4 linked regions of the Drosophila melanogaster genome follow. The gene in region 1 interacts genetically with each later gene. Each region holds a gene or a part of one and is shown on either strand. Other genes may lie near its edges. The genes, in order: spi, Sox21a, rho and csw.

Region 1 (4,646 bases):
GGGCGGAATCTGATTCTTCTTAGAATCCTTTTCCATTGAACGGGATCGCAGATGCGGCTTATTCTTAACGCAACTGAGTGGAGTTCGCTTTTGTGCGGACAGGGGGGTACTGTTTGTCTTGGGCGTAATGGATCCTCCGGTCACCGGGGACCCCTCCTCTTGGTCAACATAGATCTTTGGCTTGTTGGCTCTGGCGGGCTTGCGCGGTGGCACACGACGCTTGTGACCCAAACGCACTCGCTCCAAATGTTTGTTCGACGGCACTTCTGGTAGCTGCTCCTCGCCAGCGACAAAGGAGGCCATGCTGCTGCCAGTGCTGAGATTCAGGGTCAGTGTTTCCAGGATGTGCTCCAGCATCTGGGCCTCGCGTGCCTCCTCCTCCTCGTCGTCGCAGAAGATGATGGGTGTGCGATCGACGCCCAGGCTGGGCGATCGGGGATCACCATGGGGCTGCTGTTCTGGCGGGGGCGTGGCCATTTTCACCTGGCCCTGCTCCAGATTCGGCTCCTGATACGGCAGCAGCTGTTGCTCGCAAGGCAAGGTTTCTTCCTGATCATAGGGCAGTGAAACAATCTCCAGGGAAATATTGTTGTGTGCAGCAGACGGCGGTGTGCCGAAGCTATCGCAGCTCTCCTCTAAATCCACTTGGGGCGGTGATGCAGGCACTGCTCTCTGTGCTGTACCCACCCTGGTGTCCACGAAGAGATCGGCGAATGTGTCATCCATATTAAGCGAACGAACCTCATCGAGGACCAGTGGAGTGCGATTCAGCTGAGGAGAGCGAGGATCGTTCAGGGAGAAGCCCTTGAGCAAACGTTTTCGCAGCATGGAGAAGGCATTTTCACTGGTGGTCACATGCTGCTCCTCCTCCTCAACGCGAGGTTTTGACGCCTGCAAGAACTACAACGCAGCCATCATTACTAGGGTTAGTAATATCAAAAAATACCTAATGCCTATAAACTCACGGTTAAAGGCGTGCGGCAGCCATTTGGTGATCGAGGATCGAGCAAAGCGTTGTTTTGCTCTCGATTCGGCGTCGTCATTTCCATTTGTTCTCGCTTTTCGCTGGCCAGGCGCATTTTGTTTAGTGTCGGCGTATCCGGCAGATATTCACCTTCCATTTTTGTTGCCTTTGCTCCCATTTTAATCAAATAATCTGACTTATTTTGCGACTTCTCACTAAATGTTGCGGGGTAAAATAAAATCGTTGCCGCGCATTTGTTTTGAAATGGCGTCGTGTGGAGTTGCCGGATCAGGAAATGCCAACTGGTAACAGTATTGTTAACGTCAGTCTAGCTATTTTCAAGCCAATTCTAGCAGTGATTACAAATGGATTTTATCACTAGTTCTTTCATTATTACTAATAACTAACTAATCGTTACAAATATAAATAGAAATTAAACAACGTTTGGGATATTTAGAACTTAAGTCTGTAATGTTTAGGTGGATTCTTCTTGTTTTACTCCTCTCAAATAAATTTATGAATTGATTTTTATTTATAGTACATAAGAAAATGTAAAATTCAGTAAACAAATAAACTAATATTAAAGTTATCAGATATTTTTTTTAATTTCGCTTTACAGCACTGATTTTTATGCTGCCTCGCGATAGTGTCATCTCCCTCCAGCTAAAGTCTGGCAACACTTGTTCATTTAAGACGCGACACAACGAATTGTACTCTTTCAGTTTTTCAAAAAGAAAATGGCATGAAAACAGGCCAAAAAAGTGCGACAAACGAAGAGCTAAATCCCAAAGTAAGTGGTAAAGTAAGTGATAAACATCCAAATGAAAGCAACCCAAATGCATACATAAATGCGCGAGTGTGTGTGCTAAATTATAACAGTAGTGACTGTGTACCTTCACGGAAAAAGGGAAATGAAGACAGGAAACTGGGTTTTTTTACTCCAGATGACTATTTTTATTGAATTTACGCAGTTGCTGTACTAAATAGGCGAGTGTTTTTGTGTATGTGTGTGTGGGCGCCGCAAGCAGCAGTAAATTCTCCTGTGTGTATATGTGTTTTTTTTTTCTATGGCCGTCTCCTTTTTACACACACTAGCGCACAATACAGCTGCGCCTTGTTTTTTGCCGACATTTTTTCTGCTTAGTTTTATTTATTTTATTTCAATTAGGCAGACAAATTATTTTGCTCGCTTTGTGGAGCCATCAATGTGGGTTAGTAAGCTAAAGTGCTGCGTAAAATTGCGCTATTGTTTTATTTGCCAATTGTAGCGCAAAAAGTAAGCAAATTGTATACACACAAACGCCAGAGCGCATGTCGTGCAGACTTTCTCTCTTGCTCCAAATTGCGAGTGTATGCATCTGCGTTCGTGTGCGTGTGAGTACTGAAAACAACCGAATTTCATTCATTGCTCATTTCCGAGAAAAACTACACGCTACACTCGTCGCCATCTGCAATTGCACCTCTGTGTGCGTAAGTCACTGTATCACAAGTACATTATATGAACTATGTATATAGGAGCCGCTGCAGTTGTGCAACATGTTAATTGATTCCAGGGGCTGCTGGGCGTGGCAGGTGCAAAAGCCCCTTCCACCTGGCTTCTATTTACAGAAACTTCTTCCCACTTCCAGAGTTCAACATTCTTGCTCTTCCCGTCGCTTGACCGCGTTTTTCAAACATTCCACGAGCGGTCTTAGCACACTCACACCGGCACGCTATGTGTGTATACATACGTATGTACGTATATTGATTTCAATCAACTTTGAAGCGCGCTCTGGCCTTCTCCTTCGCTCATTCGGCGGTGTGCTATGCTCTGCCTGTCTCTCTCGTGCTCATCTGTCAATTGAGCACCACGTCCGTTTGTCGGCTCATCAGCAATTTACACAGACACACACTTCACCGCGCTGCATCCGTGTGGGTAAATTCCATTTCCTGTTTATAATATTGCGGCGTCTTGTCTGTCTGTCTGTCTGGCGTACAGCGGAGACGCAAACCAGCGTCCCTTTCGCCTTTCGTTCCGCTCATCTCGCTGCACAATGGATCGATCCTAAATAAGCATCTTTTAAAAAGTATTCAAAGTTTGTAAATCGTAACGCATAGCAAATATATTGTTATCGTCATAGTTTGTCATGGTTATAGTTTTGTTAGCTTATTTTTGTTATTCTAAACATTTTAAATTAATACTACATCTTTTTGCAAATCGGATATCCGTCTACTTTCGCTCTTATCCCACGTACATATCTCCCACTTACGATCATCCGCGAGTTTCGGTTCCGTAGCACGTTACCTTACGCATCGCAACCACTGTGCCGTTGGCATTGGAACGCTGACCGCTTTGCGGCTGGGAACGATGGGGAATCGGAACATCCGAATGCGACGCGCTCCGCTCTTATTCGAATTCCCAGCCTGATCCGGCTGTCACTGCTCTTGTTGTTGCGGCAGCGGTGAGTTGAGTAGTACAGTACGTGCCACTTCCTTTACATTCAGAAAAATAAAAATTGCTCACACACACTCATGCATGTATACGCCTAAAGCATACATAAACAGACGTTCCGGACAGACAGACAAACATTGAGTGGAGCGTTGGGAGGGGAGCGGTTGCTTGGCGTCTGCGCCGTGTGTTGTTGCTTTTATGCTGCCCCTACTTATTGTTCTTGTACAGTTGCAAAGCCACTCACATGCGTGTGTGTGTGTGTGTGTGGAGCCAAAACAGTGAAAACGAGTTTGATGTCTGGCTAGATATGGCAACTCTGTCGGCGAGTGCACATCCCCCCAACCCCAAGCCCCAAGCACCCGCTTATTAGAAGAGAAATACCGCAGAGCGTTGTTGTTGATTTTACGTAAGAAGGCCGTCGAACTCAGCATAGAAAATGGTGAGCGAAAGAAAGAGCGGCCGCGAGATAGATGAAATATGGGGGCCCACGACCAGAACCACAGCCAGAGAGAGTGTGCATGCAAATAGGTGCGAGTGTGTGCGTCTAATGATTACCGTTACTATTTGCATGTTGTCTAGTCAGACGTCTCGCGACCCAGACTGTGCGACCCACCAGGCAATTGGCGAAAAATTCTTCGTCGTGACCTTTCATCGTCATCGTTTCAACCGGACATCCAAGCTATATGCATATGTATGTATGTATGTGTGCGTGACAGTAATGTTGTTTATTGATTTTATTAGCATTGCCTTCGAATTGGCTTTCCGAATGAGCATACAAATATATACGACAATGACGGTAATGGCGGTAAAAACGTTAGCAAATTGCAAGAATGCACTGAAAAAAATTCATACAGTGGGGCAATTAAAAGTACATTAATGTCTCTAGGGCTCTAGGAACTCTGCTGGTTCGTAACATTTAGATTGCAGATATGAACTAACTAATATCGGCCAAATTACGCGAAAGAAAACCAATTACAAAGCGGTCTGGAGGAATCCTTCGCAAAGCATTGCTAGTGCTGTGACTGCAGCTGTACACTTGCCACTCAGTTGCGTGCATTTCTGCATTTCTGCCGGCTGTGGTTCAACGTCCTAAGCCGCACACAACAAGTGCAACAATTGTAACATCAACAAAGCAACAGAACACCGCAAAAGGGGCAGAAAAGCGGTGTGGCAAAGAAGCACAACTTGATGGGGGAATCGGATTGGGAATGGGAATGCACAAATGCAGAAGCGAAGCGACGAAGATGGCAA
Region 2 (6,729 bases), on another chromosome or scaffold:
TTCAGCTGGTTACGATGCTGTCGCGATTGCCCTGTACCGCCAAGCTGTCTATATTCCACCCAACCCACCCAGAGAAAAGTCCAATAATAGTGGTGGTTGCTGCTTTGTTTTGTGCAGTGCCTCAGACAAAAAAGTGCCAATTGTTTTTGGGCCGAGAGTTATTGACACGCCTCGACGGTGAGCGCTTCACAGTTGGCCGCTTAAACAAGTGGGCGTGAAGGAATCCCATTAAGGACGATCGCCACCCTTCCGAAACGGCAGACAATCCTGGCCATCGTCATCCATTCATCCCCGCGGCGTGTCGGCAATTTAAACTAATAATCAACGCATCAGCAAACATTGTCGTTATATTCACAGAAGCCTGTGGCGTTTGGCGGTGACTCCTTACAGATTGCAAGCTATGATTTTCACTCACATGCAAACCAGGTCTCTATAGGGTTCTTCAATCCTAAAACTATTGTTACAATTTTGCCATAAATCCCAATGCCATGCTTTATTCAAGTACACTGTTTAAAAATCGTGGAATTTCACACTATTTTTAATTCGATTTCTGCTCTTTCATTTATCACATTAAAGTATAGTTTTACAATCATATATTACATAAAAGTGGACATGTTCTCGATGCCTTAACAAATCTAATGTACTTTAGATCTAATAAGCCATTTGTTTGGGTTCCAGAAATTGATAACAAAGATTGTGAAATCCTTAAATTAGGTATGAATAAAACCATTTAAAATGTGTTTTAAGCTGATTCAAAGCTGATTAATTCAAAGATTTATCGAAAGAATTGAGTTATTCATATAACAACATATCAATAAAAATATTAAGTGCAGTTTAAGTAATATGTACGAATTCAAATGATGTTGTGAATTTTAATAAAATGTCAAAAAATATATATAAAATATATATATATAAATTATAAGAGACTACTAAGTGTTATTTCTTAGCTAAGATTTTTTAAAATTTCTTTGATTTAAAATGTCTATTGCTTTTCGAGGCCGGACTTAACTTCATTATTTGTCAAAAAATGTCAGTAAATTGAGATTTTGAATGTAGTTTTAAAATTAATCATCTAAAATAGTGAAGCAGCACTAAATCAGAACCAAAAACATAATTATAGTAGCAACTAAAGACGTGCATTAATATTCGTCTAACACTAGGCTCTAACATTAGGACTTTTAACTTTTGGAGAGGAATGGTAAAGTTTACCATCCAAATTCCCTCTGTGGTGCTCATCCTAGACCACGTGTTCCGCGGATGAGGAGGTGCCGGCGCCGAAGCGCAATGGAGTCGGTCAAATGATGTTTGGCGGACTGGCCGCGCTGGCCACTACCGCATTTGGTGAGGACTTCTCTGACTTGACGCATCCGTAGGATGAGATGCCGGTACCGCTGCTGCTGGGCGGGGAGGGTGGAGTTTCCGGACTTATCAGCGGCAGATATCGCCACGGGTGGTAGATGGAGCCGGCGTACATCGCCTGGAGGCGCGCCTGTAGGTCCAGGGCCAACGTGGGATCCAGTGGATAGTGGGCGAGGCCGGGAAAGGCATTCGGCAGGCGGGGCAGCGATAACTCCAGTGGCGAACCAAAACCGTACTTGGCGCTCAAGGTGGCGGCGGCCAGCTGGACATGATGTGGATGAGGATGCGGGTGGTGTGGATGCGATTGATATGGTGACTGGTGCGGATGTCCGTGGAGATGTGGCAGCGACTGACCCAAGGGCGACAACTGGGGCTGCATATCCTTGGGGGAGCCAACTGATCCTGGGCCACTGGGACCGGAGTTACCCGCACCACCAGCGTTGACACCACCGTTGGCACCACCTCCACCGCCGCCACCACCACCACCTGGCACCGGTGACTTGTTGAGCGTCTTGGGCTTGCGACGTGGTCGATACTTGTAGTCGGGATGTTCTTTCATGTGCAGAGCCCTGTAAATTAAATAAATGTTGAAACACTGATCAAAAGATCGAACGATTTAAGCTTTGATGATATCATAAAGTCAGCCATCTCTGGTCGTAAACCCCAAGAGAAGCGGAACCCTTCCATAAACCCCACGCCAGGCAGATACAAAATGCACAAGTTTATATTGTGTATTTAGCGAAGAACCAGCACTCCGATTCCAACTTCGATTCTCTTTCCGATTTCCCAGCTGCAACAATGCGCAATTGTTGACATTTGTTTGACATAACGATAAAACCTGATAAAAGGTGTGTTTGGGTCGCCTCCTCTTGTTTTACTTTCGCTTTTCTTTATTTTGTTTTCCTTTCTTTGGTCAGTTATGGCCTCCTTATCGCGGGTCCCGAAAAAAAATATTGTTTTCCTTATCATCGCGCATTGGCAAATATTTGATCAGAATTTTTGGTTCTTTTCATTCGATATGCTCGCTCGAAAACCCCGAATGGCCATTAGTTTAAGCCCCTTCTGACGAGCCCTGATCATTTATAAATGTCATAAAATGTAAGTAAAATTTAACATTTCCATTTTGGCAGGCCAATCCAATCAATAAAAGGATTATGACAGTGCAAACACAGAGGTTCGTCATCATAAAAGACCGCACTATCTAGGAAGGCATAGAAAAAACGAACTTGTGAGATACGGCATTTCTGGGAATTCCTGTGGTTTAAAAGTGCACTGCAAATTTTGATTCCATTTATACCAATACAACTTATTTAAAAGCTAGTTTTATAAAAAATAAAATAATGTGAGATATCACTTTTGTACTTATTTGTAAAATGCTCGCTTTTGAGTATATTTCTTGTACAAAGAACTCCATTCTAGCGGTATTTTCAGTTAATCCCGATAATTACGTTTATTAAAACTAAGCTCAAACTGAAATTACTCAAACCCTTTCGAAAGGGTACACTGAATGGGTTAAGCACACAAAAAGAAGCAAAATGCAAAATGAATGGAGCATTTCATGCGACGTGTTGCCTCGCTTTTGTGTGACAACTTCAATTGAAATGTTTACCCAAGATATGGCAGTGCCAATGAAATTCTGACTAAGCAGAGCGGACACAATCCCCGACTCCAGAGCTCCGCAATTCAGCAGGAGCTCCTCACAATAGGTAGCCTTTGTCTTAGCTAATCGATCAAATTTTGTGGCCAGACGGCATCTAGTGAGAATGAGCTACCAACTGGGAAAATGGTAACCGAAACCAAGCCAGAATTTCCCATCCAACCTACACCACTCTGCTCCTGCATAAGCCGGCACAGAAAAAAAATGTATATCGTGTGGACTGAATAAAATTGAATAAACAAAGTAATTCTTATATCCAAGAATAGAAAGCGGAGGTAACTACAAAAAATACAAGAACTATGTTTTTCCTAGTTTAAATTAATATAGGATTACTGCAATATGATAATCTGTGATTTTTAACATCAATGGGATCCATATCTTTTTATTTTTTTTAAATATAACTTCGCCCTAATAAACCCTATTAATAATAGACTTGGAAAATTAACTTTTGAATTGAAAGGTAAGGACTTTTCCAGGTAAGAAAATACTCTTATTTCTGTTTACAAATTTAGTACATACATATTTTCTCAGTGCTTTTTAACCAGACCCCAGTGAACAATACTTACCGCAATCGTTTTGCCTCGTCGATGAATGGACGCTTCTGTCCTTCGGTGAGTAATTTCCACTCGGCGCCCAGGCGTTTTGATATTTCAGAATTGTGCATTTTTGGATTGTCCTGGGCCATTTTGCGACGCTGCCCCCGCGACCAGACCATGAAAGCGTTCATTGGTCGCTTAATGTGGTCGTGGCTGTTGTGATGGCTTCCAGTATTCGAATTCGAGTGGCTGGTCGGGGCATTATGGTGGGAGTTGCCATGGTGGTGCGTGTGCTGGTGCATTTTGGGTGCCACCGGAGTGGGGGCCGCTGGCGGAACGGCGAGGTCAGCTGGCGGCATCGGTGGTGGGGTGGTGTTTCCCGATCCAGAGCCTACTCCCACACTCATACCCATGCCCAAGCCACCGACCATGCCCAAACCCAAATTGATGCCGGGCAACTGCGGTGAGAGACTGCTGCTATGGCTGTGATTGCTACTCCCGCTGCTCGTGTAACCATTGCTGTGGCTGTGGCTCCGATGGAGCAGGGCCGAGATGCTCGTCATGATGCCGGGCGCGGAGTCAAGGGACTCCAATGGGGGTGCAGGTGGTAATTATCAGGTGGTAGTGCTGCAGCTGCTCCTCGAGCTCTGAAATGCCAACGGAAATGGTATTCAATAGATATGCCTTGTTAGCTTGGGGACTCTGTCTGCTGCTCCCTGCATGAGTCATTTGATTGGAGCTCTTCGCACTGCGAATAGCTTACCAAAAATATGCACAATGGAACTCCATTTACCCCTTCTAATGTGTGTGTACAGGGGGCTCAAAATGGTGTCCCGGTTTTATGACAAACCAATTTAAATATTTACCAGTAATTCAAATCAGTTTTCAGTATTGAGTATTTGCAAAATTGGGGATTTCCCTTAAATTAATATTATCCAAAATATATTCCTTGAAGAACGTATATTTGCATATTAACAGTACTGCCAAATTCGATTTCAAATGATGAATTAATTAAAGATTGGATTGGAAAATGATATATTTTTTAAAACAGGCTTTTCTAACATTGAAAATTGCAAATATTCATAAAATTCATTATATATTTCATATCCTTATAAATCTTTTGGTTTCTTTTTTAAGAAAATATATTTGTTCGCTTATTTCGCTTTTTTAAAGTGTTTAGTTTTTGGGGAGGAGTGTGCAATAGTTTAATTTAGAGCACAGCTTTTTCTTCATTTCATATTTAAATATTCGAATTGTTTACCTAGGGACCTTTTCTCATCATCATAATTAGCTTACCTGTATTAATTGTCTTTTAATTTCTCCCTAATAAAGTTTAAATTTGGATTCCATCCGATGCGTGACACTTAACTATCTAATTAATTGCACAAGAGTTTACGTTGCGATCGAGTTCTTTTTGTTTATTAATATTACTAGGTTAATTATTGTTGATCGCCATTAGAACTCCTAAAAATACACAAGTGCACTGATATGAATTTTTAACTTATTTTCCAAACAGTTCGAGATTTATAGAGCCTCGAATTTACGAACGTTGAAAGTATTTAAACCGTTAGACTGCCGATTCACCGTTAGCCGAGCGCAGCGCGTCCGTTTCGAGTGCGCGACAATTTAGATTTGAAAACACATTCGAAAACTTGCGACAAAAACGGCAAACAAACGCAACAAAAAGGGGCAAGAGGAAGAACGTGGGTGTTTGTAAGTATGAGGGTGTCTCTGTAGTGGTTGGTCGCTGCTGCGTCGCTGCCGCCCAAAAGGACCGAGTGGGAGCGAGACAAGGCGAGAGATAGTGCAAGGGAGAAGGGTCGCGCAAGTAAGAGAGAGAGAGAGAGAGAGAGAGCGCGCACATTTTGTAGAGTTTTTTACACCTTCGGAGGACGCGTCAACGTGGCGGCTAAGTGATAAAAATTCGCTGCTGCTGCTTTGTATCTTTGTATCTGCGTTTTGTATCTTATTGACAATAGTCTCCGGGTTTGTTTTCGTTTTGTGTGCACGTTTGCATTCTTGTTTACCAAACATTGCTCCTTTTGCTCTTCGCCAGTTGATGATATCTGCATTTTTTATCAAAACCGTAACACAAAAATAATTTTGAAAATTTGAATAGCCCAATAACATATTTCATATTAAGCTACCAATATCAATTTTTATTGTAAATATAAATAGTTTTCTTTGAAAAATTCAAGAAAATTCCGGCTAGTTCTGAGAATTTCGCTGCTATATTTATTTACAAAATATTAAATCATAAATTGGTACGTTTATAAAACACTTTATTATTCAGTTCTGTTTTTCTTCTATGCATTTGTGATCCAAATAAAAGGCATAGTTAAACTACTTTATAGCTCTTCTTAACTATGGAATGAGAACCCATTTTTAAGATGTCAAAAAAATGCCTTGATTAGTTTATTTAAATGGAATACAAAACGGAGTGGCAACAATCAATCGAATGAAAAATACACTTTAGCTTTTGAATCTTATACTACAATTAACCAAATATTGGATACTTACTTATATGCATGGTCTACACTATATGGTTATGGCACTATAATTTCTTACTGTGTATTAGACCGGTGTTTGCTCTCACAATCGATCGGTGGCTTATTTGGTATGTTTGCTGCAAGCTTCGGTATCCGCAAGATTGGCCCTTTTTGTTGGCAGGGTTGGGCCGCTTATTTCAATTGCTCTCCTTGTTTGTCACACACAGGAAATTCTCAATTCTTGTTGTTGCTGTACCAATAACGATTTCTGTATAATTGCAACGATTAGAAGCCCTTGATCCCTTAATAGTACCACCTTTATACATTTGCTAAAATTTCTTATAAATGCCGCTCTTTATAATTGACGGTTTCAATGTTCCGCCAACGGAGCTTCTCCCTTGACGAATACTAAGAAATTAGACAATTTTCCCGGTGTTTACAGTGTAATGTCAATAGAAAAGTGTGTAATATGCTAGGTATAGTACATCCGGAACAATAATTTCCCGATCACAATTAATTTTAATTAAATATGCTTTTGCAATAATATTTAACGATTATTGGGACTATTAGCAACATTTCCACAGTATATACTAAATCTTCAAATTAATTTGACCTAGAAAGTAACAAAAACAACATTTTAAAGATAAATGAATCGTCGCAGTGCTTTTTATTTTAAATTTTTTTTTTA
Region 3 (7,591 bases), on another chromosome or scaffold:
AATAGGTATGCATTAGTCGACTAAACGCAAACAGCTGGCAAATGTTTTTGGTTCGCTTCAAGTCCTTCGAGTTGAATGCCGATTTGGAAATTCATGGACTTAGTCCTGCTAATCCAGTTGGATTGAATATAATACTCGCATGAGATGTGGAATCACAGACAATATGAATTATTACAAAATGCGTATGCTGCGCCTTCATATTTCATATTGGGGCAACTATCGATTGGTGGCAGTGGCAACATTCGAGTGGGAAAATTCGTTGACACAAGTCTTCTGCGGAGTGGGTATTAATTAAGGATTTTCTTCGAGTCTTAGTTGTAGTTGCAACCTTTCGCTTTGAATTGCCATATTTATGTGGAGCAAATATTGATTGGGCTGCCCCCCAAAAAACTCATCCAGCAGAGGATACATACATACACAAGCTCAACTCGCCCTGAGTTATTTGTGAAGAAAACGAGAAATTCATATATAATTTAGACATTTATTTTTGTTCAATTTTTCTCTCCTTATTTATTTATCTATAATTTTTTGCTATTTGCATTTCTTCTGTCCCTTGTCTCGTGCTGAACATTTCCGTTTCCTAGTTTGTTTTATTTTATTTTTTTGTTTTGTTTTTTTTTTTTCATCGGGTGGAGTGTGGATCCATTATTTTGGAAAATCGAGTATGCTATCTTGGGGTTTTGTGGCCCAAAAGGATTCTATTTTGGCTTACGCTTTGCTGGCCTTTATGCCAGATTAGCTGTTTTCATTCGGCGATTACTTTGAATATTTCTCTATTTGCGTACGATATATATATATATATATGTATATATATATGTGTATCGGTCAATATGTCAAGTATCTTGATAATCTGCTGGCTCGATTATTTATTGCCCTTAAATTGTGGGAATTAAAACCAAGCGAGCCGACAGCCAAAAACTGAAAGTAAAATAAAAATACAAAATGGGAAATGAAAACGCTTTTGCTTGTATTTTGTTATTACTGTTGTATTCTTGAAATGTTTTGATTTTTTATTTTCTTTGGCTTTTCGTGTGTATTTTTCAATTGGATATTTTTACAGTTGAATTGGTTTGTTTCTTCTCTCTCTTGTGTTGTTGTTGTTTTTTCGTGCTTGTTTGTGTGAATTTCACTAAATTATTAAATAAATAAATAAATAAATAGTTCGCTCAATTGACGAATTAATAAACCCTCGCTGCCCTACCATAAATAAATATAATTAGTAATACTTTCGAGTGTGTGTGTGTGTGTGTGTGTGTAGGGGATTACGATGCTCGATTTTGTAACGCATTAAGTGACTTTAGTATAATTTAATTTAATTTAACTCGATTTGCTTAATTGATCTGAATTGAATGGTTCTTTGCTGTGGTTTTCCATATTTTTTTTGTTGTTTTTGCTGTTGCTGTTGTTGTTGTTTGACTAGTGTGCGACTTAATAGTATTTACAATTTGAAACAATTTGTTAGGAGGGCTAGTTATACCTAAATATATATAAATTATAACACTAAATCCTACAATTCGGAGCACATTATGCTTATGGATGTATAAACAATTTGATACAGTTTGCTGATGCTTCGATTCGATTCATTCGTAGTAATTGCGGCCAATAAATACATAATTTAAGAAAACAGACAAACCATTAATTGAAAACATGGATAAATCATTTAAATCATAGCGAGAGGCGATTAGTTCTGTTTCTCCTCTTTGATTTTCCTCTTGATTTTTACTTGGTTTTTACACGCGAAATAAATTCAGTCTTTGGTTCTATCACAACATTTGTTTACACGTTTCGGCTTCGGTTTATGTTCTCCTCACTCCTCGCACTTTCTTTTTGTCCAGTGTATTTCTCTTGATTTGTTTTTTTTTTTTTTGAGTTTGTGTACTATGTTTCGGAACTGAAACGTTTAACTGCAAACGGTAACGATAACGAGATAATGCTAACGAAAAGCAAAAGCCAAACGAATATCGAATTAGTTTTGAACTAAATCGTTGAGTGAACTTTTCTTTTCCACCAACTCTCTGTCTCTCGATCTCTCCTGAAGCTCAAGCAGATTCCGAATCCCTGCGAGCATGCTGACGACTCCGAACCTCAAACTTAGGACACTCCCAGGTCGTGCAACAGATGCTGGGTAATCACCTCACCCTGCTCCTCCATCAGCTGAGCGGTCACCGTGTTGATCAGGTTGAAAACGATGGCGAAGACGGTGAAGGCACAGTAGACGCCCAACGCTAGCCACCAGATGAGCTGCTCGTACTCTCGGTGACCGAAGTTCTTTAGCACCAGAAAGCCGATCGTTAGTCCTGCCAGGGCTCCCGTCAGGTGGGCAATGTACGACACCTGGGGACCCTTGGCGAAGGCGCTTCCATCGAAGTATTGGGTGTAGAGAGCATAGCCCAGATCGCAGGAGACTGCAAATGGAAGAACAGAAGGGATTCAAGTTAGTTAAGTTAAACATAGAAGAAAAAGATGTGACAAATTCGTGTTTAGGTAGGATAGATTAGGTTCTATAGATTCTAGTCATAAGGTGTGGGGAAACTCACCAAAGATGACAACGGATCCGAGTTGCGTGGATGCGCTCTTCATGTGCGCATAGTTCAGTGTAATGTTGGCCAGATGTGCGGCCAACAGGGCATAGACGCCACCGCTGGCGCCCACCAGGAAGACCTCCGAGTCGACGACACTGGTGCCCAGGGATCCGGCAAAAACGCCCGCCATGTAGATCACGCCGATCCTGGCCGTGCCGTGCATCACCTCCAGGGGAATGCCAAAAAACAGCTGGATGACGATATTGAAGCCCAGGTGGAACCAGTTGGCGTGCAGGAACATGTAGCTAAAGAAGCGCCACACCTGCAGACGCCGGTCCGGCCGATAGACCAGCACCGAATCCGACGGAATCGGAACGGGTAGCCCGAAATTCTGGGCGGGCATTGTGTAGCGGTCGTAGGCGAAGATGGCAATCTAAAATGGACAGAGACGCAAAGAATTGGGGGTTAGTTCTGGGCTCTCGCTCTGATTTATGTTGTTGCTGTCTGGCACGCGACCACGTTCCAAATAAAGTCTTATGAGAATGCTTAGGGGCGAGTCCTGCCAACTTGGCAGGGCTTCAAACTCACTAAACTCATACGCCCCGTGGGCCGCCCTGTTTATTTGATATTCGTGCTAGTTTCTATACGAAGCAAATTATTTCCAATACGAATGTAAGGGGTCATGTAAAAGTGTATTGTTTATTTTAAACTCAATGTTCCAAGTTACCAATTTCGCTATCAAACTAACTATCATTTCCATCTTCTCATCTTCCACTGTTTTTCACATGACAATTTTTGGTCTGCCCTTAAAAAATAAAAAAAAGAAAAAACTACGAACGGTCTGGTTTCATAAACTTTTCTGTTCGCTTTTTTTCCTTCGGCTGTTTTGTTGTTCAACTTGTTTACAATCGATTTTCGGGGGCGCCAGCGAGTCAGACGCAGAAAACGAAACACGAAAAGCGAGGAAAACTCTCGGAAAACTTCCGCCCTTCGTCGCCGCTTTCCGCCCCCTATATCATTTTTATCGCTCTTGGGATGAAAGTTTGCGGCTTCTTTGATTTAATGGGTTGAGTTACTGAGTTCGCTGTGTGTGTGCTTACCTCAATGATGGAGATCACTAGGATGAACCAGGGCCAGTGCTGGCGGTGGACGTACTTCAGCAGGCCGATATCCTCCGACTCCGGAAGTGGCGTGGCCGGGATGGCCTCGCGTTGCATGTAGATGTGCTCGCCTTGGCGGGTGCAGCAGGTGCTGCTCGCCGTGCTGCAATCGGTGTCGTACGACGAGGAGTTGGAGGAACTGGAGCACGCGGCGGGAATGTCAATGATGGTCTCCTTGGCGGCGGTGGCATGCTCCTCCTCCTGCGACGCCTCCTTCTCCTTCTCCTGGCCCAAATCCACCTTGGTTTCGTTTACATTCTGCGTTAAGTTCTCCATGCTGGCGCCGTTGAAGAAATTCTGGAGAAAGAGAGGAGCGCATAAAGTGTGTAATTAATTAACTTGAACCGAACAATAAACAAAAATCAATTAAGTGCATAAGTTATTCATAAAACGCAGCACAAAACAAGAGCAATTACAACACTTCAGAAAAACCAGAGTGTGTGGGGAAATGCAGCAGAAATAAAAGAAAAGCGAAGGAAAAGCCTGCTTCTTTGTGGGTAAGAATTTTGTTTATGGCCTGGGACACGGATTCCGATGCCTGCAACTTCCTGGCTGCTTTTCCCCGAAGGGAAAACTGGGTCAGCTTGTGTGAGCTAACCATAAAATTTGATGGGCCAAGTTTGCTTTTGTGGCCCGAAATTAGCTGGACAAAATTGAAGATGTAGCTTGTGTAGCATCTACGCCGTTACATAAACTGCACTTTCAGCCCTGAAATCATCTTCGCTAATGGCCAACTAATCAGCTAATGGCCAGGCATTATTGTAATTCATTGCCCAGAGACATTTCCTCACAAATTATGTTAATCGCATTCGATTCAATTACAGTCACAGCACAAATCTTCTTAAATTCCCCAAACAACTGTTCGTCGCAACAAGGAAAAAAAATAACAAATTCATTGCCTTGCTCAACAAAAAAAAAAAAAATAAACTTAAAAAAACGCGTTTCTCCCACTCACACTCATTGTGTTCGCATATGCCCCCTCTCTCTCTTTCGCCTCAAGTCGCATTGCACACACGCACCGTTGTTGCTTTTGTGTCTGCTACCTACACTGCTCGAAAAAGTGAGTGGGTGCCGTGCCTTGGCTGGCGCTCTTTTCATGTTCTTCATTTCGGTTGCCTAGCAATTTCAATAAGGCACGAAATCGCAGTCGGCCGCTTATTAATTAATTTATTTATTAACTTTAATTGCAGACTGCACCGAATGTCCATGCGAGCATGAAGAAGAGATGTCGAAAGCGGGCTTTAAGACATAATGAATTAATTCATTCGGCCTTCTTTTCATCATTTCTTTCTTCTCATTTTTTTTTTTTGTCTGTTTGGTCAGAAACATAGTTTCACATGGCCCGCGGTGTAATTTGCATTTTTTATGCTTTCTGCTGCACTCGCACCCCTAAAAAAAAAAACGGGCAAAGGGTGCGAGCGAGAGAGATAGAGCGAGCGGGCACACAGGTTGAACAAACTCATTACGCCTCTAAGTTGAAATGCTTTTGTTTTGCCGCTGTGACAATTTCTATTGCAATTTGCACATTTCTTGCATATCCCTTGTGGCTTGTAGCTTGTATCTCGCAACTCATATTTTGTATCTTGTATCTTTTAGCTCTCGCGCATTTTCTCATTAGGGTCGGGGGCTTACCTTAGGTTTTTCTGCCTGTCGCAATGTTTATAATCCAAAATGCGTGGGTTTCTTGTAATCCAAATGTCTTTAGTTAGCTGGCATATTCGCACGTTTTTCACTCGCTTTTTTCGGCTCGCACATTGGTAACTTAGTTTTGCTGCTCGTAAATCCAGGAGCTTGTATTCAGATATTCTTGAGATATATATTCTCTGCTTGCACCCACACACACGACAATTTGAATATTTCTTTCTTTCAGTTTCAATTTCAGTTTCGAGTCGCAGTCCGACTTTCTCAGTTTGATGATCTCGCGCTCGCGGCTCGCACGCAACTGACTTTCGAAAGGCAAGGCAGCCGGCCTTTATAAGTGCTCGCTGTGCGGTGCAGTATAAGAGAGCCACTTCGAACATGTTGTGTTTTGGTTCGGCCGTATAAGTGTTGCATGGCACATCCGGATCTTGTCTTGTGTGGGTGGGTGGGGTGTGCGCACTGCAGTCACTCGACTGCTGCAGCTCGAGGCGAGCGGTTCGAAGGTTTTTCGTCGCTGGTTATTCACTGGTTTCCCCCATCTGCCGCCTTGCCACATAACGGTGAATGACTCATCCAGACGGGCCAGCACTTCTTGCCAATGCCACTGACTAACAAATGCGTCGTCTTCTGTCTTCTGTCTTCTCGCCGATCTCCAGCGATCTGCGCTTTGTCATGGCCTACTACGCAGATCTGAGCTCTAATCTCTGCAATGTTGCGAAATTCTAGCAAGGCCTTTGCGTTTAATTGCCTTTCAGCAAAACCGACTTTTATCTCATTTTATATTATTACTAGTAATATATATTAACGTACTAGAAGAGGTTTAAGCTCATTTTAGTTGTATTTGTAAAGGTACCAAGTCCATTGTTTTGCTGAGTTTCCCGTCGATGCCTTTAAACAAAGACAAGAAAGTCAAACAAATTGTTAACACAATTAAAGATGATGAAATCGGTAGTAGCAGTCGCTTTTTCTTTAGCTCCGCACTTTCGAATAGTTTCCAGAAATAACTTCAATGTCACAATTGCTCACAATGGTAATGTAAATTAGTTTCTAAACTAAAAAAACTAGCAAAACTATTTGCTTGCTTAGAAATAGTTTTAAAATTCCTCTATTGATACGTAACCGTTCAATAGCTAAAACATTGCTTCTATAATTCTGTTGTTTTTAAGGGAACGTGCCACTGCAAGTGGCCAAAAATGCAAATAAAGTATATCGGCTCAGCAATGCAGAACATGTCATGGAATCGAATTCGAAACCGAGCCCCGTCCTGATTCCCCTTGATTCCCCGATTCCCCGTAGAAGATCATCATTGTCAGGGGTTTCGAATTTCACACCTTTTCCAGCGAGAGCTCCCTCGGAGGCGTTGAGCGAGCAGATAGAAATCGGTAGCAAAAATAAATATTTATACAAATTATTAGGCAGCCTGAGCCGTTGCAGTCACGAGTTCGCGGGAAAGGTCACCACGGCATGTTGCACAAAAGGAGTAGCTTTCGGCTTCCTGGCCGAAAGGATCGAGACGACGTGGTTACGTGTTTTGCATGATAAGCTGGGAATTTACACAGATCTAATAGATAGATATACCCATCCTGGCCAGTCATCCTCATCGGCGGCATGAAAACTCCCGCATGAAAAGTGAAAATATTTTCACTGGGCGCAAAAGAGAGGCGAAACAGATTCAGAGTCCTCGTCCTCGTCCACTGAGATTTATGATGACTTTTTAACATGTGCGTGCAACAGGTAAGCAGATACGAAAACACAGTTGCTGCACTACATGCCCATGACCAGGCACGTCATCAGCTCGGAGTTTCTCAGCTCATCTTCATCGTAAATCCTTTTTTCCCACGTTCCCTCAGGTCGAGTTCCTCCATCCTCCATTGCTGCGTTTTCATTGTGCCAGACACGCATTGCCAGCACTCCACGGACATGGACCCACTGGCACTGGCAAGGTCAGCCACCGTACCAAAGCAATCTCAGCCACCCAAAACACTCGAGCTCGAATTCAGGTAACCGAGTGGGCGTGGGTAGGACGTGGGCTTTTCCCACGCAGGACAGGACGTTGATTCCTGGCCCGTCGCCCGGGAATTTCCCCCAAAACATGTGCTCAACATATGCGAGTGCCTCATGGCATCGCGAATCAGGAAATTCCGCCCGCCACTTGCGCTTCCCGCCGCACAGCAAGGTGTCCTTTTTCCGCTTCCCAGAGTTTCGTTTCGCGACTTTTTGTTGCAGCCGCACTTGTCTTCCGCAAGTTGCGCCAAATGTTTCGCGATG
Region 4 (4,742 bases), on another chromosome or scaffold:
ACTGAGAGCATCTTGTAGTCGGCCGACGTTATGAATTTGCACAAATTAAACGCTTTTATTTGATCAGTAGCCACAGCTCACGGTTGTGCAACGGACAAATAAACGGAAATATGCAAAACAGAAGGCAGCGCTCGAAATCCATTACGGGAAATGTAATTTCATAAATCGTTAATCAGCCTTATGGCGAGAAGAAAAACCATCGGAAGGTTAATAGTTCTACAAGGCGGAGGGCAGAGGACGGCGGTGCCCCATTGTTGACCTAGTGAGTGTGACAAGTGAAATCCGGAAATCACGCAGCTTAAGCTGTCAAAGCTATTGGCACATCATCTTCAGATCATTTGGCATGATGTGCGTTTTAGGATAACGACGAAAAGATCGCCCTAAAGCAGGATACCTATAAAAGCTGAGCATAAATTAGAAAAACAAAGATCAAGTTAACGAGCCAATCAACACGTTCAGCGATTATGAATCCGTTGCGATAAAAATCAAAATAAATAAATAAGCAACAACCGAAACCGACTGCACTACCAATCCGAGCTCAACTAAAAGTCAAAGATAATTTATGGGACATAATAATAGTCCAGCAGATACATATGCGATTGTTTTCTGGGTGTACTGTGCGAATCGAGATCGCCAAGATGGGGCCAGCCCACACAAACAATCGGACGGCACATGGCACAGCCGGGCAGATAAACACCAAGATCAGACACGGAGTGGGATGGAATCTTTGGGGAATGTGGACGACGGACAGCGCAACAGCGGGACATGGGTAAACATTCCGGGCGCGAGTGAAGAGATAATTCCGATCTGGCAGTGGGCCAAGATACGATGTCTGCAGTGGGCAATTCGCCGAACTCTCCCGGTTCTACAAGTGCGTAATTTAGCCAGTGCCTAACCAATAACTCAATCTTCAGCTCTAAATGAAAGAACCAATATCGAAACACAACTTGACAACGGGCCAATTGTGTGGGGGGGGTTGATATGTTGATATGTGACCATATTTGAGTGGCGATCTGAGCTGGGCCCCCTGCCATTTGCCATTCCACTCCCTTCACTTCACTTCGGCATTTGACAGTCGGAAATTCATTCATATTAGAACGTCAATTTACGATTGCTTGTTTTCGAGTCGAATGCTTTGCGTAAATATTTACTCATTTTGCGTGGCAATTCTGAACACATGACAGTATGTGCTGCGCTGATTTTTTTTTTTTTTTGCTTTGTTGCGGCGTCAACTGCCTGTGATTGCCTGCCTTATTAGGGTTAATGTTGATGGGCAGCAGATTGTCTCCAGATTTCCCGCGAATCATCTGCTACTCCGCGACATGTGACTGACAGGCGGGGCGACATACTACGATGCGATGGTAGCTCAAAATACCATTTCACCTGCTACGGGGTATCGTTTAGTTGGCAGCCTGACAACTTCATTACTCGCACTCCAATAACAATTAGTGCCTAATTTCGCACGCGCCCCAAATTAGCAGAACGCTGCTCTTTTTCTAACACTCTGGACTGGACTGCTGTCGTTTTTTTTGGGCGACCTGAACTTACGTGTAACCATGGAGCTGGACGCGCATGGTGGCCAAGAGGGACAGTGTGCTGTTGGAGCAGCTGGCGCCGCCGAAGGCGGCTGGGAACTGGGGCGGTGTGGCTGTCCAGGAGGTGGGCGTGGCCGGGTAGGAAGCCTGCGGGCTGGGTGTAAGACGGTGCAGAGATTCCGTCGATGTGGAGGCGGAGGCAGCGGCGGAGGGTTGGGCGGAGAGAGGACGACGTCTGCGCTGCAGTCGGTTGTCTCGATTACGTTGCGCGTCAGCGCCCTTGGCCACGCCCTTTATGATCTGGGCCAGCTCGTCGTGGGTCATACAGTTCTTGCAGGCCGGCTCCTGGGCCTCGGGTGTCTCCGTTGGTGGGGTGACCTTTGCTTTCCGACCCTTGCTGGCCTTGAACTTGCCGCTCCTTTCGCGCTCCTCCGAGCGTCTTCCCTTGCTTCCGTAGTGCGCCTGTATGGCTCTTTCGTACTCAAAGTTTCGCTGATTGTTGTAGGCATTGTTGTTGTTTAGCGTATTGTTATTGTTATTGTTGATATTGTTGTTGTTGTAGACTTGTTTCTCTTGCAGCTTGTGATTGACCACATTGCCCAGCGAGCTGGACAACTTTTCCAGACATTTGTTGAACAGCATTTTCTTCACACTCGTTTTCTCGCACACACCAAAACAAAAAGAAGCTTAGATAGTAGTATTCCACTGCGGAAAAATGCGTCTCGGCTGGGGTGTTTTTTTATTATTTTTTTTTTATTTTGTTATTGTTTTTGTTTTATGTAACAACTTGCCCACACACACGAACACACACTGAAAGCACAAAAACTAGAATTCTTGGTTTTTGTTTTTTGCCGCTGTTTGTTGTGCTTCTCTGTTTGCTTTTTATTGATCTTAGTCAGCTCGATTAGGGGAAATGTCTACAGTTTGTCAAATAGAGTGCTGTTTACCCCGCATTCGTTTATTATTGCACAATCTTCTTGAGAGCCAGCAACAGCTTCTTTTCGTACGACTTGACATTGATGGCCTTGGCCACGGTGGTGCTGCTGCTGTTGATGGTGCTGGTGGGTTTGACCTCTGCTGGGGATGCGGCCTGCTCGTCGAGTCGCGATTGTGCCGCCATCAAATGCTCCAGGACAAATGTGGCTGAAGGCATAATTTTCGCGCTTTGCCTTCGAATAACAAAAACACTCGATGGAACTTGTACTGGCGCCCAGTAGAAATGAAACGAACTGCTTGCCGCTCGACGACGAACGGCGACTGCTTGCGAGCTGAGCTGCTAACCCGTTGGATCACAACTCGAGAATGAAGCGCCTGCTGCCGAGTCTGAAGCTTTTTGCCTCGGATTCGAAATCGCAATCGGAATCGAAATCGGATTCTTGACGTTGTCTCAGCGCGGCTCCTCTCTTTGCGATTCGATTCTTCCGCTCTCTCTTAGTGGCTATATCTCTCGGACGGGAGCTGTGGCCTGGTGGTGTTCTAAGCGCTGGGGTATGAATGAATCTGAATCTTGACTGGCTGCGGACGGCGCTTTTTGTTTTTAAATCCAGCCGGCGCTCTGGTTAGCCCTTCCTGTCGATCTCGTGGGTGGGTGTTTTTATTTATGGGCTTTATTTACTGTCAGCGAGCCAGAAGTCACAAACAAATACAAAAAAAAACACAGTAAATAAAACGGAGCGAAAGACGTAACTTTGAAATTGATTGGCAGTGGGTGTGTGCACAGCTTTCCCCTGGGCTCCTGTTTCAGTATCATCAAACTGCTTGGGCCCCTCAGCGGGCGCCACTTAATTGTAGCCATCCTGTGGACGCCACTTACGGTTTATTCAGAAAGCGAAAGCACTTTGAATTGCAATCAACATTGTAAAAAATTACACTTTTACTTTTCATTTACTTTCAATTAAGTGCTAGAGCCAGGCTAATACCTATAAATATGTATAGCGGGCTCCACTCTATGTTTATTTCGTAATGACTGTACTCCTGGATGAGTCATGGAGTTCATCGCAATCAGAATCCGAATCATACACATTTCGAAAAGCAGGCACATAAGATTAATTCCAATCCGAAAATGGTCATTTCGTGATATGAGTGTGTTGTTGGCTTGTAAGAAAGCAAATACAAAAAGCGCTTTTAGCGCCGTCCGTTGCCTGCCACCGGAAATGAAACTGAAGCCGCACAGCAACTACTGTGGCGGCCATCTAGGCAAGGAACTGGGTTTGCTGGGGGGCAGGTGGGTTGGTGGGCAGGTGGGCAGGTTGGTAGTTGGGTAAGTGGGAGCTAGAAGCGAGCAGTGCCAAAGCTCTCTTACAGCGCAGGCGCAGACGTCAGAGGTGCGAACGTGCGCAGAATATCTTTTTTTTTTTTTTGGCCAGCAAAACAAAATCGTTCGACGTGCGACAGCCTGCGAACTGCGATCTAGCAACACTTTACTTCCAGCCTCGTATTCATGCCTCCCAACGATGACGAACTATTTTTTTTTTTTCCAACATTTCGTCATTGTTTTTTCGCTGGAAACCAACTAGAACTTGTTACCCAAACCACATTCAAAATCCACTCAATGGAAATTGTCTCCGAAGTGTTCGATCAAAATTGAAAATGCTCAGCTCAAACCAGTCGGGGAAACCCCATGTAGCTATGCATGCATGCATCAATGCAAACAGGATGTTCCAGGCCAGGTGGACCAGATCCGTGGAAACCACATGGGGCTTCTGGGCGCAGTTAGGTGTCGGTTAAGAATATTAGTCATTGCAATGGCAAATGCAAGACGAGAAGTGCATTAAAAGTGAGTAGAGATGATTTGAGCTACCTGATTGCTATCGATACAGAATTAAGAGCGAGGCCAACATTGGCCATTCGCAAGTTTAAGTTCTTAGAAATGATCGGGTAACGCAATTTAGAAGTGGCATTGACCAATAGCCTACCCAACGTGTTTACATTACGTATGGAATTACTAAAAGTTCCGGCGAAGTAGTGAGTGCCGTGAGTGCCGCCCTACCCAGAAATAAACTTGATCGGTACCAGTTGCCAGAGCGACAGCCCAGTCCCAGTATCCCCAGTGCTCCATTCCTGAGCTCCGCGACCTTGGCTATCCCGATTTCGTTGCTGGAGACCCAGACCGCATTTGGGCACAGCCAAAACCATTCGTAGGTGCGATGGGGAGTGGGCCAGAAATAAACATAATTTATTGTTCAGTCGGAGGCGGGGGATGGTTAG

What was found.
Region 2: of spi (region 1) and Sox21a, changing one suppresses a phenotype caused by changing the other (phenotypic suppression), as found in Drosophila melanogaster (2 studies listed by BioGRID).
Region 3: of spi (region 1) and rho, changing one suppresses a phenotype caused by changing the other (phenotypic suppression), as found in Drosophila melanogaster (3 studies listed by BioGRID).
Region 4: of spi (region 1) and csw, changing one suppresses a phenotype caused by changing the other (phenotypic suppression), as found in Drosophila melanogaster (2 studies listed by BioGRID).

The regions. Positions count from the first base shown.
Region 1 is NT_033779.5:19,574,294-19,578,939, reverse strand, and holds the start of spi (spitz), read left to right. Parts: upstream 1-1,624; 5' UTR 1,625-1,754; intron 1,755-3,352; exon of another isoform or gene 3,353-3,405; intron 3,406-4,646. Other genes in the region: msb1l, read right to left, coding at 1-900, 966-1,142. UniProt on the Drosophila melanogaster protein: Ligand for the EGF receptor (Gurken). Involved in a number of unrelated developmental choices, for example, dorsal-ventral axis formation, glial migration, sensory organ determination, and muscle development. It is required for photoreceptor determination.
Region 2 is NT_037436.4:14,102,960-14,109,688, forward strand, and holds Sox21a (Sox21a), read right to left. Parts: upstream 5,160-6,729; 5' UTR 4,849-5,159; intron 4,200-4,848; 5' UTR 4,116-4,199; coding exon 3,583-4,115; intron 1,929-3,582; coding exon 1,295-1,928; coding exon of another isoform or gene 1,238-1,294; 3' UTR 522-1,237; downstream 1-521.
Region 3 is NT_037436.4:1,461,854-1,469,444, reverse strand, and holds rho (rhomboid), read right to left. Parts: upstream 5,635-7,591; 5' UTR 5,315-5,634; intron 3,980-5,314; 5' UTR 3,959-3,979; coding exon 3,623-3,958; intron 2,956-3,622; coding exon 2,538-2,955; intron 2,406-2,537; coding exon 2,092-2,405; 3' UTR 501-2,091; downstream 1-500.
Region 4 is NC_004354.4:2,100,582-2,105,323, reverse strand, and holds the start of csw (corkscrew), read right to left. Parts: upstream 3,036-4,742; 5' UTR 2,178-3,035; coding exon 1,549-2,177; intron 1-1,548. UniProt on the Drosophila melanogaster protein: Required in all receptor tyrosine kinase signaling pathways. Functions downstream of the receptor tyrosine kinase torso, acting in concert with D-Raf via tailless.